Mytilus edulis: one gene and its partner. The protein of the gene in region 2 purifies or fractionates together with the protein of the main gene of each other region. This does not show direct contact. Links are inferred from orthologs where the notes say so. Each region holds a gene or a part of one and is shown on either strand. Other genes may lie near its edges.

Evidence for each region. Proteins that work in one complex are often made in the same cells at the same time.
Region 1: the proteins of glycogen synthase kinase-3 beta-like (region 2) and GSK3-beta interaction protein-like purify together in Drosophila melanogaster (affinity purification with mass spectrometry, with the first as the bait; 3 studies listed by BioGRID). This does not show direct contact. The link is inferred for Mytilus edulis from reciprocal best matches to the Drosophila melanogaster genes sgg and CG11523.

Annotation. Positions count from the first base shown.
Region 1 is NC_092353.1:34,109,010-34,116,523, reverse strand, and holds the start of GSK3-beta interaction protein-like, read right to left. Parts: upstream 3,003-7,514; 5' UTR 2,983-3,002; coding exon 2,800-2,982; intron 1-2,799.
Region 2 is NC_092348.1:72,216,447-72,224,283, reverse strand, and holds the start of glycogen synthase kinase-3 beta-like, read left to right. Parts: upstream 1-4,829; 5' UTR 4,830-5,165; coding exon 5,166-5,250; intron 5,251-7,837.

The DNA of each region.
Region 1 (7,514 bases), on a different chromosome or scaffold from region 2:
ATTAGCGGAGATGCCTAAAAATCATACCAAATTGCAAGGAATCTTCAATTAGTTAATCTATAACTTTTAAATATACAATTATAATAATAATGTAACTTCAATCATCTATTTATTGAGGATTTTCAATAAAGAACATGAGTCTCACAAACACATAGTTTTAAAAGATTAAAGCTAACAATTTGAAAATTGATTGTATTAAATGTATTTTACATGTCAAATGACATAACTTTGCCATCAAAAGAGACAACTTTCAAACGCTTTACGCTCTTGGGTACATGAATGATCAATTCGTTTTCGTCATTGCTGGAATGCGCTTTTTGGTCCGTCGTGCGCGAACAAGATACATTGCTAATTGTAGGTATATTTTCCTTGTCATCAGATAGATAGGTGTTTTAGGATAAACTCATAAATGAAGTGTCCAGTTATTCTTTTGTAAATTCCTTTGATGGCACTGATAGGTGATTAGAAATCAGTATTAATTATAACAGCAATCATCCTAATCACACACATCTTCAAATAGACTGTCCTTCAAACATGTCAAATAGACTGTCCTTATGCAAATTAAAATGTAAGCTCCGCCCGATCAGTTGAAATGACATTGGTAATACATCCCTCACAAACCATGCTTTGACCTTCCCATCCCTTAAAAAAATAGATATGGACAATGCTCTCTCTCTCATAATTCTTTTTAGAATGGCATTAATATTTTATATTATTGTATGTATTCGTGTATTATGTTATGTATTGTAATATTAATGGTGAGACATAAATAAACTATTTGTATTGTATTTTGTTGTTGCTCCCCCTTTCTTCTCTGCCATATGAATGAGTTAAGTTCTACATATTTTAGATTTCACATTTTTTGTAATTAAGATATATCAATAAAAAATATATATATATTTAATGAAATGACATTTACAAATGTCACTTTAGACCAGGCTTTTATTCATCATTGATTTTTAGCTGAATCTCACACATGACCTTTGGATACATGTATTATGAAGTAACAGTTAGCACATGTGCTTGACATTTTAAAGTTAACAAACATAATGTAAAATGTCAACACAAATAAACAATAAGTAACAACATGCTATCATAAATCATAAATTTTGAAAATAGTCATACAAAAAATGAAATAAATATCATTTGGCCAATGAAATGGCTGACCTGTTGTTCTACATGTATGTCATTTGGTCTCTGGTTGAGAGTTGTCCCGTTGGCATTCATACCACCTTTACATATCTATATATCATACATGTCTATTGAATATTGTAATAATTTCATCAAAGAATAACCAATATTTCTTATTAAGTGTAACCTGTAACAATTTTCTTAGTTAACTGAAAAAGAATCACACTATAAAAAGTTGCACATTTATCCCACATTTGATAAATGTACATGTAGGGAAAGAAGTCACATATCTGATACTAAGGAAAAAATGTTCATTTCTGTACAAATGTTTTAAAGTATGATGGTATTTTTTGTTCTCTCTCATTCTTTTTTAAAGTTATATGAATAAAATTGAGAATGGAAATGGGGAATGTGCCAAAGAGACAACAGTCCGACCATAGAAAAAAACAACAGCAGAAGGTCACCAACAGGTCTTCAATGTAGCGAGAAATTCCCACACCCGGAGCATTGATTGATAATTTACTTTTTTTTTATTGAAAGGAAATTGAAGCCAGTTATCATATGGTTAATAAGTAAATAACTACATTAGATGTATATTTCATTATAAAACATTATTCTGATTGACTACACTGCAAGACGCATTATTCGTTAATCAACTTCATTACACAATAAAATTTATCAGTCATTGACGACACGAGGTCCCACAATAAAGTGTACCTGTAGATAAATTAAATAAAAACTTGATAAAAATTGTGTTTTCATGATCCTCGTTAAAAAAAATGTAGCCATAAAGTATGAATACTTCTTTTTGTAACTTCATAGGTGTGTAAAAGCGTTGACTGTGTGCACATTTTTAGAATGACAAAATGTACTTTGGTCAACGCTTTTACACCCCATTGAAGTTACAAAAAGAAGCATTCAATTCTTAAATAAACATTTAATGAATTCTTTAGAAAACTTGACATTAACATGGAATGCATTTGTAAGTAACCTTTGAAAATTTATTCAATTGCAATAAACACAAATATTGTATAATATCATGTCTCTGGTGACTTCACGCTAAACTTTTGAGTTCACATGAAGCCCAAAGCTATTAAAATTCTGAAAATTTTAGTTGATTCTGTTGGCTTGACGAAAAGAATTTTACAAGCCTGACAGCAATTATACAAAAGGGATCGTAGGACTTCTAATAAAGAGTGAAGATGGTAAATAAAATCAAAACTAAATAACAACAATCTAACAAAATAAATATATATATATATATATATATATATATTTCAAATTTGACATTATTTTGTTTTCTCTGGGAACAGTATATACGTTCCTGGTTTTTTTTTAAAGTAGTGAAATTTCCAGGAAATAGTCCTGTGACCTGTTTTTACCACTGACTTCTTTTCAAAACTTTTTTTATTTCAGTAACCCCTCCCCCTTTTTGACATTCATTATGAGCACCTCCCCCTTTTTTCCAACAAAACAACAAAATCATCAAACCTTGCATGCTAGTTACATTGTACTTGTAGCTCCACATATTCTCCTACGATTTGACAACATGTCAACATACAGAACGTTTTACAGCGTTGTCAAAAATTAATTTTACTTTATAATTTAGAGAATTACTCATCACTCTTACAACTAATGACTATCTATCTATTTCCCCTGTCTGCTTACCCTGAATCCACGAACTGACAGTTCCACGCAGAATTCTTCATTTTCCTTCGTTTCCAAATTAAGATATACTAGTTCATTGGTGCTTGGTAAATTGGGAGATATTATAACAAACTTCACAGCGTATGCCACTTCTTTAACAACTTCTTCTGCTTCTATACGAAGTGTATGTTCATCTTGATCCATTACAAATGGGAGATAACTCTATTACTCTAAATACCAAAAGGGAGATAATAATTTTATTTTCCATACTTAATTTTTCTCAGTAAATTGTACTTGTCTAAAACAGAATGTTGTTTGTGTTTATCATGCAATTTGTTAATAATTAAAGTTGATTCAATAATTAGAATGCATATAAGACCTATGAATAGTCCCAAGTGAGGCCAAGTCCAGGGGCGGATGCAGGAATTTTCAAAAGGGGGGGGGGGGGGTGGGGGGGGGGGGGTGCTAACCCAGGGCACCCAGGGCAAAGGGGGGGGGGGGGTGCAAAACATATGTCCCGATACAAATGCATTGATCGGCAAAAATAAAGGGGGGGTGCGCACCCCCGGAAACCCCCGCCCCCCCTGGATCCGCCACTGAAGTCAAAAATCAATTTATAGCAGCACGTTAAAAAAAAGGCACTGGCTACGGTTACATGGAAATGTAACAATAATAAAGATATTATTGTTACATTGGAGACTAAATGCCGGAATGCATGGTTGGGTAAGGATCTGTTTAATTACGAATGTAACAATAATTATTGAGGCTACGGTTACATAGCGCTATTGTTACATGAAAAACAGCTGTACGATGGGACTAGTAATATGTACTAAATAATAAAAATGAAGACATTTATTTTATATTTACAATACATACATTTATTACATACAATTTATTTACTGTAATTTTTTATTTACACTGACACTTTCTACAAATCAAGTAAGTGGTTTTTAAAGTCCGACACATTTTCGATGAACGAAATTACGTCCTCTACGGTTACGTGTACATACAGAAGTTCTTAGTATTTAAGTTACAGTTAGCAAACTTTTCTTTTGATGTATCAATTTGGGTCAAGTTGTATAGCTGTATGAAATTTATGTCTTGATTTTGTTTAAGTTTCGCCGGTTTAAAACGCATCCCATTTTTAAAAGTTTTTCACCCTAACAAAATGGTTTAAAGTATAATTGACAGTAATAAGAGTAGGTGTGCAGTTAAATACTTTTAAAAAGTGAAACCATTGAACTATATGTTTCGCCTTTGACACTCATAATCTTGAGTAGTATCATTAAGAACATCAAAACCATTAATACGTAAATATATTCAGGTTATACACCATTTGATTGTTGAATAATAATATTTATTATTTATCAGTATTACAAGTATTGTTTAGTACATATGAAAGAATTAAGCAAAACAACTACAGAAGATTTAAGTTTAATAAATCTAGCGTACATTGCTGTTTTTCATGTAACAATAACGTAATCTAACCGTAGCCTCAGTAATTATTGTTACATTCGTAATTAATCGGTTCCTCACCCAACTTTGCATTCCGGCAATTAGTCTCCAATGTAACAATAATATTTTTATTATTGTTACATTTCCATGTAACCGTAGCCAGTGCCTAAAAAAAACCACTTTAATAGACACTGAATCTAACCAGCGACATATAATACAACAATAATTCTCTGATCTAACTATCTATTAAAACATCTATATGTAGTCTGTTTATGTCTCTCAGCTGCCGTCTAACTGTACAAAGAAAATAAAAGATTTTTAGAGAAAGGTGAATTAAGCCGGCTTATGTTGGGCCAACTGAGTTGATTCACCGAGCAGTGGATATTGTATTCAAGTCTAACCGGAATGAGAAAAATTTATTATCGTTTTGGAATTTGTTAAATAATAGTATAATTGCAATTATACAACATTTCCCAATTCTTATATAACAAATCCGTTTTTATAAGAATTGCTTGATGTTATTGGCGCAAAACTGTTACTTGGAAATATATCAAATATGGATATTGAAAAACCAATGACAATGGAAATCACCATTTGTAAACCAGCAATTTGACGATTACGAGATTGTAACCTTATCACATGCACATACTCTACAGAGTACTCTCTCTATTTCTTTATATATTAGGTATCGTGCAGTATGATGATAACGAGAGAATTTAAATGCATGTAAACCTCGCTTGAAATTCACGTGAGTTTCACCTCAATCGAGCTTATACGTGAATCTCATCATGACATGTGAAACTCACGGGAAATTAACTTGAAAATCACGAGAATTTCTTTTATGTGAAATTCACGTATTTTTTTTTTTAAATTAAGTTAGGGTAAATAGCTTCTAAATTTTCAAATGTAATCAAAATCATGGAAAATAGCATCTAAATTTTCAAATGTATTCAAAATCATGGAACATAGCATCTAAATTTTCAAATGTAATTAAAATCATGGAAAATAGCATCTAAATTTTCAAATGTAATTAAAATCATGGAAAATACCAATTTTTTTAAAAGTTCGCCTTAAATTTTAAACGTGAACAATTTACGTGATTCAATTCACGTGAAATTCACATGAAAGTCTTCACGTGAGCTTAATGTTTAACTTGAGCTCGTTTGAGTTGAACTTCATATGATATTCATGTGAAATTCACTTTAGCAAAATTTTGCCTGTGTATACTAGGCAACAAAAACTACTGGTAGGTGGTAATTCAAAAACAGAGGTAAAATTAGTTATTTAAGCATTACTGTTTTAAATACTTTTAGAGAGACGAAAGATACCAAAAATTAAAATAACTAAAATACTGAAAGACTTTCAAATTCAAAATCAAACTGACAATGCCTTGGCAAAAAATGAAATCGAACAAAAGAAAAACAAATGCCTATAAATTGATACGCACCATAGAAAATAAACTGAGCAACACGTCAGTAAAATTTCTTATTGTCATGGTTTAATTTATAATTATTAACATTAAGGAAAGATACATATTGTAGTGCATTTCGACAATCAATGTTCCTTCAATGATACTCAAAGACAAAATACATGTATGTGAAAAGCCAACGTAACCTTAAACAAACCGTGAAGAGCTGATAAAACCAAAGATTGATTGATTGTTGGTTGCTAAACGTCCAGTGGCAAATATTTCATGCATGTTCAGGACGAGAACAAGTTAACAATAAATACAATTGGTAGGTCTTGTAATAATAACCAAAGAGGACCAATAATAAATCCAAAACCGAATAAGGAATAAAATATATTTATTACAGATATATAATACCTCAATTAAAAACGATTTTCAAAATTATATATATTGTATGTAACAGCAAATTACAAATTTTATACCAGTACCGAAGTTGTCGCCACTTATGATAGACTCGGTGCGGAGACTAATAGTCTACAAGCAGAGGTATCAACCCAGTGGTATCGACCATAAACGGTACTAATTTTAAAATACACCATATTCTCATTTCGACAATCAATGTCTTTTCAGTGATGCTCGAGGTCAAAATGAAAAATAAAATAATTCAAGAGGTAATCACATGGTAATTATGAGGGACTATTCTTTAAATAACTATTACTCATTTAATTATTTGAATTCAGATTATTTATCTGGTCGGAGTGTTAGGGTCAAAGTCGTTATAATTTTAATCTTACGAAAGATCTTTCCAAAGTTACAGCGTAAATATTTACGGAACACTGAAATATTGTGTGTTGTAATAAGTGATTGATTCAGTTTCTTTTCTCACCTTGTCTGCTAAAGAACACCATAATGGACATTCTTTACCTTTTTACGGATGTTCATTAATATCGATTTGTAAACAAACACCATAGCTTGTGGAAATCTACCATGCATATGTGTTGAAGACATACTTATTTCTAAGTATTACCAACCATTACACTACGCAACTGGCTAACCATATGACGGTGTGTAATATCTGGCATGAAAAGTAAAAGTTTTAACAATATCAATATAAATTGGTGGTGAACAGCAAATGAAGAGACTTAACGATATGACTGAGGTCATGATACCAGCTTTGTATACAGAATGCAGTGGTTGGAACCCCCCTTTTTTGGACGATCAATGCATTTGAATGGGGACATGTAGTTGAAACCCCCCCTTTTTTGTCCTTGGTTAGGAACCTCTCCCCTTTTTAAAAGGCTGAATCCGCCCCTGGAATGGGTGGTATATATTATGTTTTATGCGCAAGAACGTCTGTAAGGAGTTTATTTACATGGTTTTTGCGTTCAAAATTCTATTAGAAGTAAAAAGCATGCATTTTTATATTGAGACCACTTTTTATGTTTTAGGACAGTCATATCTGACACAGTTTTCATTTTATCGTTCTACCAATTCATATTAATAGGTAATCGTCACTATATTACTGCTGCTCTTTCTTCATCTCTTTCGCATTTGATATGATACAGAACTCATAGTTGTCCTTTGTAGTTGGCATTGATATTGACAACTCCCTTTTGACAAGACTGTATTATATAGTCTCGTCAGTTTTTCTCTTCAAACTCGTAAATATATTTCCATATCAAGGATCACTAAAAAAAAAACCCGTTTGGCATACAGTACCCGGCCAAACGTATTCGTCATCTGCACTTTTTTGCCATTTATTTCATATAAAAACATATTTTTTCAAAAAAATAATATTTTTAAGACATTTATGGATGGATTTTTATCAACATTGCTTTAAAAGACGTATAATTGATTGTCTAAAGTATGTTTG
Region 2 (7,837 bases):
CACCAAAACCTGGAAACAAACTTTTTTTTCCAAAAAAAAACCATAGCCCCCCCCCCCCCCCCCCCCAGAAAATCAAATGGTTGCTGCCTAAACCCTATGTGAAGTTGAAAATCTTAGAAGAAATAATTGATATGAGAAGTTTCAGTGTGCTTTTATTTCTATAGTTGGATGTGATATTAGTGCATTTAATCAATTGTCATTAAAATACCTGAAAGCAATTACAAGCTAGTTTGCCTGTTGTGTTCCTTGGCATAGAATTAATGCAATTTTATCCTGTTAGTTTAAATTCCTAAGTATACATCTATTAACACAAATATTGAAATAAGAAGAAAAGGTACAATTAATTAAGGGCTCGTGAGAACATGTTCCCCATTCAGTTGAGCTCACATTATTTAGCGAAGCTCTTTTTGCAATTGTTTCAAAATCATAGAGACTCTCTTAGTTGGATGTTTAATGGTAATGGTGTGACCATGTCAATGGATCTATGCATTGTATATCACTATCATGTCGAGCCAGTTCTTGCAAAGTTCTCGTCCCTCTGCGCTTAAGGACTTAAGGGCATACGATACAGTTTTGATCCCGTATTTACATTTTGATACAAATTGCCATATAGACTATATTTTACCTGATTAAATCAAATATGTAATAAACAAGAATGTGTCCATAGTACACGGATGCCCTACTCCCACTATCATTTTCAATGTTCAGTGGACCGTGAAATTGGCATTAAAATTAGAAAGATCATATCATGGGGAACATGTGTACTAAGTTTCAAGTTGATTGGACTTTAACTTCATTAAAAACTACCTTTACCAAAAACTTTAACTTGAAGCGGGACGAACGGATAGACGGACGGACGAACTAATGAACGAACGAACGAACGCACAGACCAGAAAACATAATGCCCCTCTACTATCGTAGGTGGGGCATAAAAATATGCCTTCATGTGCTACTTTTTGTGTAAAATGAGGTCGTAATTGTGTATATTTGCTCAAAATTCGGATTTGTGGCCGTATTTTCCCTTTCGAAAGAAAGACATAACTTTTCATGTTTTAAAAGATAAACACAAATTGAAAAAAAAACCATAGAGACTCTCTTAGTGGGATGTTTAATGGTAATGGTGTGACCATGTCAATGAATCTATGCATGGTATATCACTATCATGTTGAGCCAGTCCTTGCAATGTTCTCGTCCTTCTGCGCTTAAGGACTTAAGGGCATACGATACAGTTTTGATCCCGTATTTACATTTTGATAACAATTTACATATAGACTAAATTTTACCTGATTAAATCAAAAATTTAATAAAAAATATACCTTCATGTGCTGCTTTTTGAGTAAAATGAGGTCGTAATTTTGTATATGTGCACAAAATTCGGATTTGTGGCCGTTTTTTTCTTTCGAAAGAAAGACATAACTTTTTATGTTTTAAAAGATAAACACAAATTGGTTTTTTTTTGTTAAATAATTTGTAATTTCTGTATTTTATAAGTATCCGAAAAATGTATACATTTTTTATTCAAAAATAACTCATATTCATCAAATATTCATGTAGAAAAAAACATCATGTTTTGCTGTTTATTTATCAAATTAAAAAAAATATGCACTAAAAATTTACGTTTTCATGAAAATTGGCACACCTAATCTTCTCGCTTAATCGAACCAAATGGAATTTAAAAAAAGGGGTCTAATGAACTCGTTTTCAAGTTAAATAAGTTTGAATGATAAAAATCAGTCGAAAACTGAATCTTTTCCCAATAAGTCATATATATAGTTTGACGTCGCGAAAATAACAATTTACGTTAGCAACGTCATTACCTCCCCTGTAACTGTATCATATGCCCTTAAGAACTATGAGGACTGTAACGCCCTTTTACTTTTTCCTTTCTATCCTAGAAGTAGGTGTTATACTCTGGGGGATTTGTAGTTAATATTTGTAACCATTTTTTTCATTATCATTACATCTGACGTTTGTGATTTTTGCTTGTTTTGCAGCTGATGTTTCGTTTTTTAGCTCACCTGGCCAAGTGAGCTTTTCTCATCACTTGGCGTCAATCGTCCGTCGTCGTTAACTTTTACAGAAATCTTCTCCTCTGAAACTACTTGACAAAATTTAACCAAGTTTGGCCACAATCATCGTTATGGTATTTAGTTTAAAAATATGTCCGGTGACCCGTCCAACCAACAAAGATGGCCGCCGTGGCTAAAAATAGAACATATGGGGTAAAATGTAGATTTTGGCATATATCTCTGAAACCAAAGCATTTAGAGCATATCTGTTAGAGGTAAATCGCTTATCAGGTCAAAATCTATCTTTCCTCAAATTTTCAGATGAATCGGACAACCCGTTGTTGGGTTGCTGCCCTTGAATTGGTTAAATTAAGGAAATTTTGCCTTTTTGGTTATTATCTTGAATATTATTATAGATAGAGATAAACTGTAAAAAGCACTAATGTACAGCAAAGTGAGACCTTCAAAGAAGTCATCATAATCAAAATGGTCAATTGATCCCTTAAAGAGTTATTGTCCTTTATAGTAATTTTTTTTAACAATTTTCATAAATTTTGTAAATGTGTAAATTTTACAAAATATTTTAACTACTGGGATAGATTCATAGGTTCATTATAAATAGAGATAATTGTAATTAGCAAGAATGTTCAGTAAAGTAAGACCTGCAAACACATCACCATCAACAAAACACAATTTTGTCTTGAATCCATCTGTGTCCTTCGTTTATTATGTATATATGCACATAGACCAAGGTGAGCGACACAGGCTCTTTAGAGCCTCTAGTTTGAGTTTTCATTTTCTTGTTCGGGTGCTGTACTGATGTCCAGTGAAGTTTCTAGAAGTGAGTAAAAGCTGTTATAATATTTTTTAAGCTGTCGAGCTGTAAACTTAATGAATTTTGAAATTATTATAAAACTAAGGTTTCAACTCCCTCAGGCAAAGTTGGCTTTAGATGAATTTGGCTATTTATTTTAGGTATTTTTGACATATTGCTCTTCAACGATTTTCGGTACTTATCCATCTTCGGATTTCAAATGTTTGGCTTTGAGCGTTCCTGATGAAGGTAAATCCAGAAAAGCGCTTCGGACGCAATAAATTATTAAACGTGTTGTTTTCCATTTTTTAATGAATTGCGGTCTGAATGGGTTGCCACAACTAAAACAATTCCACCTTTCATAGATGTTACCACCATACTCGATACCCTTATGTCCAGTGGCGGATTCAGAAATTTTCATAAGTGGGGCCCACTGACTGCCTAAGAGGGGGCCACTCCAGTCACGCTTCAGTGATTCCCTATATAAGCAACCCATTTTTTTCCCAAAAGGGGAGCCCCCTGCCCCTCCCCCTTAATCCGCCTCTGATGTCTTGGCAATTGATAAGAAACCATTTGTCTTTTTTTTAAATGAGTTATTAAATTTATTATTTTAAATAGCTGACTGGAGACCATTTAATATAATGTGAGACCTCTAAATCAATATTGGAGTTTATTACCTAGAATATTAAAACATTTTTCATCCATAATTTATTTTTTCTTATTTTTCTGAGTTAACATTTGAAGCATTCTTGAAATAGTCATACTTTTGATCCGAGTAAACTATTTGAAACATCATTCCAGTCAGCTAAGAGGTATTTTTGAAAATTTAATTCTGTTTTGTCATTATGTTTGTGTATGCGTTGCTTTGTTTGAATGCAATATATTTGACCTTGTTTTGTGGAGAGGGCTTACATAGGCTATGCCTGTTGTCCAATCCAATTCAATTTATTTGAATAAAATATTGTTTAAACTAAACTAAACCATTTGTCACAAATTTCGAATCCATGACCCTGTCGTCTAAGGTCACACGCAGGTTAGACGTTCCACATTGGTATAAGCACTATATAAATGATGTTGCCATTATTTCACGTGTTGGTACTTGGACTGACTTTATTCTGCATTTGCTAGTAGTATGAAAAGTAAATATAATTGTCAAAAGAGACACAAAAATAATATAAAAGCAAATTCCATCTAAAGCTAACTTTGCTTGAGTGAGTAAGAGTTTTCCAATCTTTTCGGCCTGCATGATGGTATACGTACTTGCCTTAAATCTGTTGATCCTCGTTAGGTAGGTAAGGATTTTTATTTTATTTTATGGTGTTTTTTTTTATACATTGAGTCTATGGGAGCAACATTCCGACGAGTGACTTTTCAAAATAGAGTTTAATGAAAAATGACAAATAAATCTTTAGGGTAGGCTATTATTTAGACTAAAAAGTAGGGTAGGTAGGGTAACTGGAATGACAAATATAATTTTGTTTGGCCTAAGTAAAACCAACAGATGCCAAATTAGACAAAATGCAAAATCACGAAAGAATTTCAACTTTTATGCCAAAAAAGTACATCAACCTCAGATTGCTTCAGGGGCGGCATCCAGTCGTGTTCAAAAAGGGGTTCCAACCATTATTTCCCAATTCAAAAGTATTGATCGTAAAAAAAATAAGATGTGTTCACCCCTGACCCTCCTTTTTTAAGTGGTCCACCACTAAACCTCTAAATGTTATATACTGAGGATGGGAAATATAAGGTTGAGGTCGAAATTTTGAGGGGGAAACATCTACATGGAATTTGTATATGTATTTCAATTTCAAATTTGATTATCAAGTTGCAAAATCAAGAAAAATAAAACCTTTTCTCAGTAATAATTAGTTCTAATAAAAAAAATTATCCTTAATGTGCCTCCTTTTAACGTCATACGTCAACTGTCTCGTGTTGCATATTTTACGAGTACGGAAAGTGCCGAACAAGCTAATTCTGGTGTGTGATTGGTTAAAAATTGTATTCTCGTGATATCACGAAGATTCACGGCCATGTTCTCGCCCGTCATTGTAGATCACCCATTGGAAACCAAATTTGCATTAACATTGTGCTATCGATTAACAAATCGGGTTGAATAATAGTGGAAATAGAACCCTTTAACTCATTTAAATGTGCCCATATATTCTTCATTGAATTTTGATGGAAAAAGACATATGTAATAAGTGAATACTGGACTTAAAAGTGAATATAAACCTTCGTTTATCTTGATTTCCTTGGAATATTTACGAGCGCCATTTGGGAGATGTGACTGACAGGCTACATCTAAGAATATCAGTTTTAATGACTTTTAATCCTTCTAGATCATGAGTGGACGTCCCAGAACAACGTCCTTTGCTGAAGGAAATAAAGCCGGATCGACTGCACCTTACGGCGGAATGAGAACAATAAGTAGGTATCCTCCATCAGTTGCAGTACCGAATTGGGTCATCACACAATCAACATGGCGACCAAGAAATTGCTAATGATTTCCATTTACAGCTACATAAATTTAAGTTTCTGCATTTAACATTTTACCCATACGATTTCCCTTTCATTATACACATTGGTTTGAAACCACGTTGTCAACAGCCAAGTCTGAACAACTGCACATCGCATGACTAACTGATATAATATGAAAAAGTGATTCACAATATAAAAATTGCATCCAAGGCACTGACCTACCCCAATAATAACCTATATACATGTGCTGCAAGATGAAAAGTATAATATAAAAGAATTTGCAGCTATCAGTGCTGTGTCAAACAATTATTTCATGCTGTAATAAGTCAATATAAGACAGGTGTGAAAAAGATTACATGGGGGCGATAAACAAGGACAAAATTATTCACTGTCTAAAAGAATCCAATCCTTGCTACAAATTGTAGAATGAAAAAAATGTCTCCAAAAGATGTCATCAGGGCTTTTCATTTAAGCCGGTAGCCGGCGGAAATCGCCGTTTGCATTGGTTTCAAGTGCCGGCTACTTCACTGACAAAAATATAAATTAAAAAAGACAAAAATATCTTTTTCAAATGTTTACAAGCAGCCGAGAGACGTATTGTCGCAAAGTCGCGGTCACGATAAACAAGGATGAGAAGTCAGTGTTTACCTTGGGCTAAATATAGTTCACATGAATTCAGGTCACTGATTGGCTGTCTATTTAAAGTCAGAATGCATCGTTTCTTTTCAAAGATAACAAGAGAGACGTTCCGGTGGTCATTGAACGATAACAATAGAGACGTTCCGATGGTCATTAACTCGTTGGCTTTTTTTTTGGCTTATAAAACGTGAAGACAATCAGATAGGATGACAATCTTATGTTATGGAATAATAGCAGTCAAATTAAAGAAAATACAGTAGATCAATTTGTTCAGAATCTGGAAAACAGTATCTTTTGAAGTTCATTTTTCAAAACCCACGTGGTGTTCAGAGAATCAAGGTCAAAAACGAAAGTAGAATATTGTCGACTCGACCACAAATAAATAACATTTCCAAATGATTTATGTATCCCGACTTATTGAACAGTATACAAAAAAGCGAAAATCAGAGGATATATCAATTTTCTGTCAATTTGAGAAATAATTGTATGATTTAAATACGTGTAACAGTCTTTATAGAGAAAAGGTGGGTCATTTGTTTACAAATGCACGTAGTTATGCAAAATAAATCAATCAAGATTTCTAACAAACCAAATTATTATAAAAATAAAACTCCTTTAAAAGTAAATGAATTTTAAGCATAAGGTAATAAAATAAAAAACTATAACATAAAAAAAATGAAATATCTTTGAGATTTTTTTTTTCTTTAATTTCATACATAAAAAATGGTCATTTGAAAGATGATAATAGATGCCAGGAGATTGCTAAAATGCAGGATTTTGCTCTATTTATGCCAGAGCTTCTGGTGGCCTTGAGCGGACCCCAGACCCCCTGCCGTAAGGCACCAAGAGCTTGGTGGGCGTCCGGCTTCGCCGAACGCATGTTACAGTCGCCTATTATTTTAATTGAGCCTTCTACTTCAATTTCAAGGGAAAGCCCTGTGTCAATTTTTTTCCATTTTGACTGAACATGTTTGTCTTGCAACTGGTATCAGGCTGACATGGTTCTTCTTGGTGACTGGGGCAATGACATTGTTTTCCTTCCATTGCACCTTCTTTCTGGATCCTCAAAAGTGATATACATGTACAATTGCCGGGTTGTTCATCACTGATCACAACCAACAGTTGCTCAGCTCTCTTCATCGGGAATTTTTCATTAGAGTTAATTTATCCCCAAAATAACAGGCTTCTCAAAAAAAATATCCAGTACATTTAACTCAATTGTTTTACAGCACAATATGTATGTTGTTTTATCTAGAACTTAATAAGGGCATGGTAATTTATTTATCAAAAGGGCACTTGCGCGTTGCCTACATGTATGCAAAAAAGGGCACATACATAAACTAGTAAGTTACACATACTCAGGGTTTCTCATTTAAAAAGATATATAAATATCTCAGTGACGTCAGGTGCTCCAATTGATAAACAGATCCAGCTCAACATGTGGCACCAGTCATATTGCTCATTTTATTTCAAACCCGGTAAATATTCTAATTGATAGGTCACTTTCGTGAAAATGGAACAGGATTGCAGTTTCCACATAAGGAACATCAAATATCATCTGTGAAACGGATATTCCAGAATGGTCAACCAAATCGTGATGGCATCCTTAAAATTTAAGAAGGGATGATTTAAATTTCATCATTTGGAACTCTTGGTTTAATATCTTCCTAGTTACTGTAACAGCAACCCTCTATCAAGGAAATCATCATAGGAAAAACAAGCCTGGGAATATTGTATCAATTGGGAGATACATATGGACCATAATTTGCTATTGGGCTCCGTTTCCTATAACTAAAGAAAAGTGATAAAATTTGAATTACTGTAAGAAAAGTTGTAACTGCATCTAAAGATGCCATTATTTTTATTAACATACAAGTGTATGCTACTCTTCCCTAGA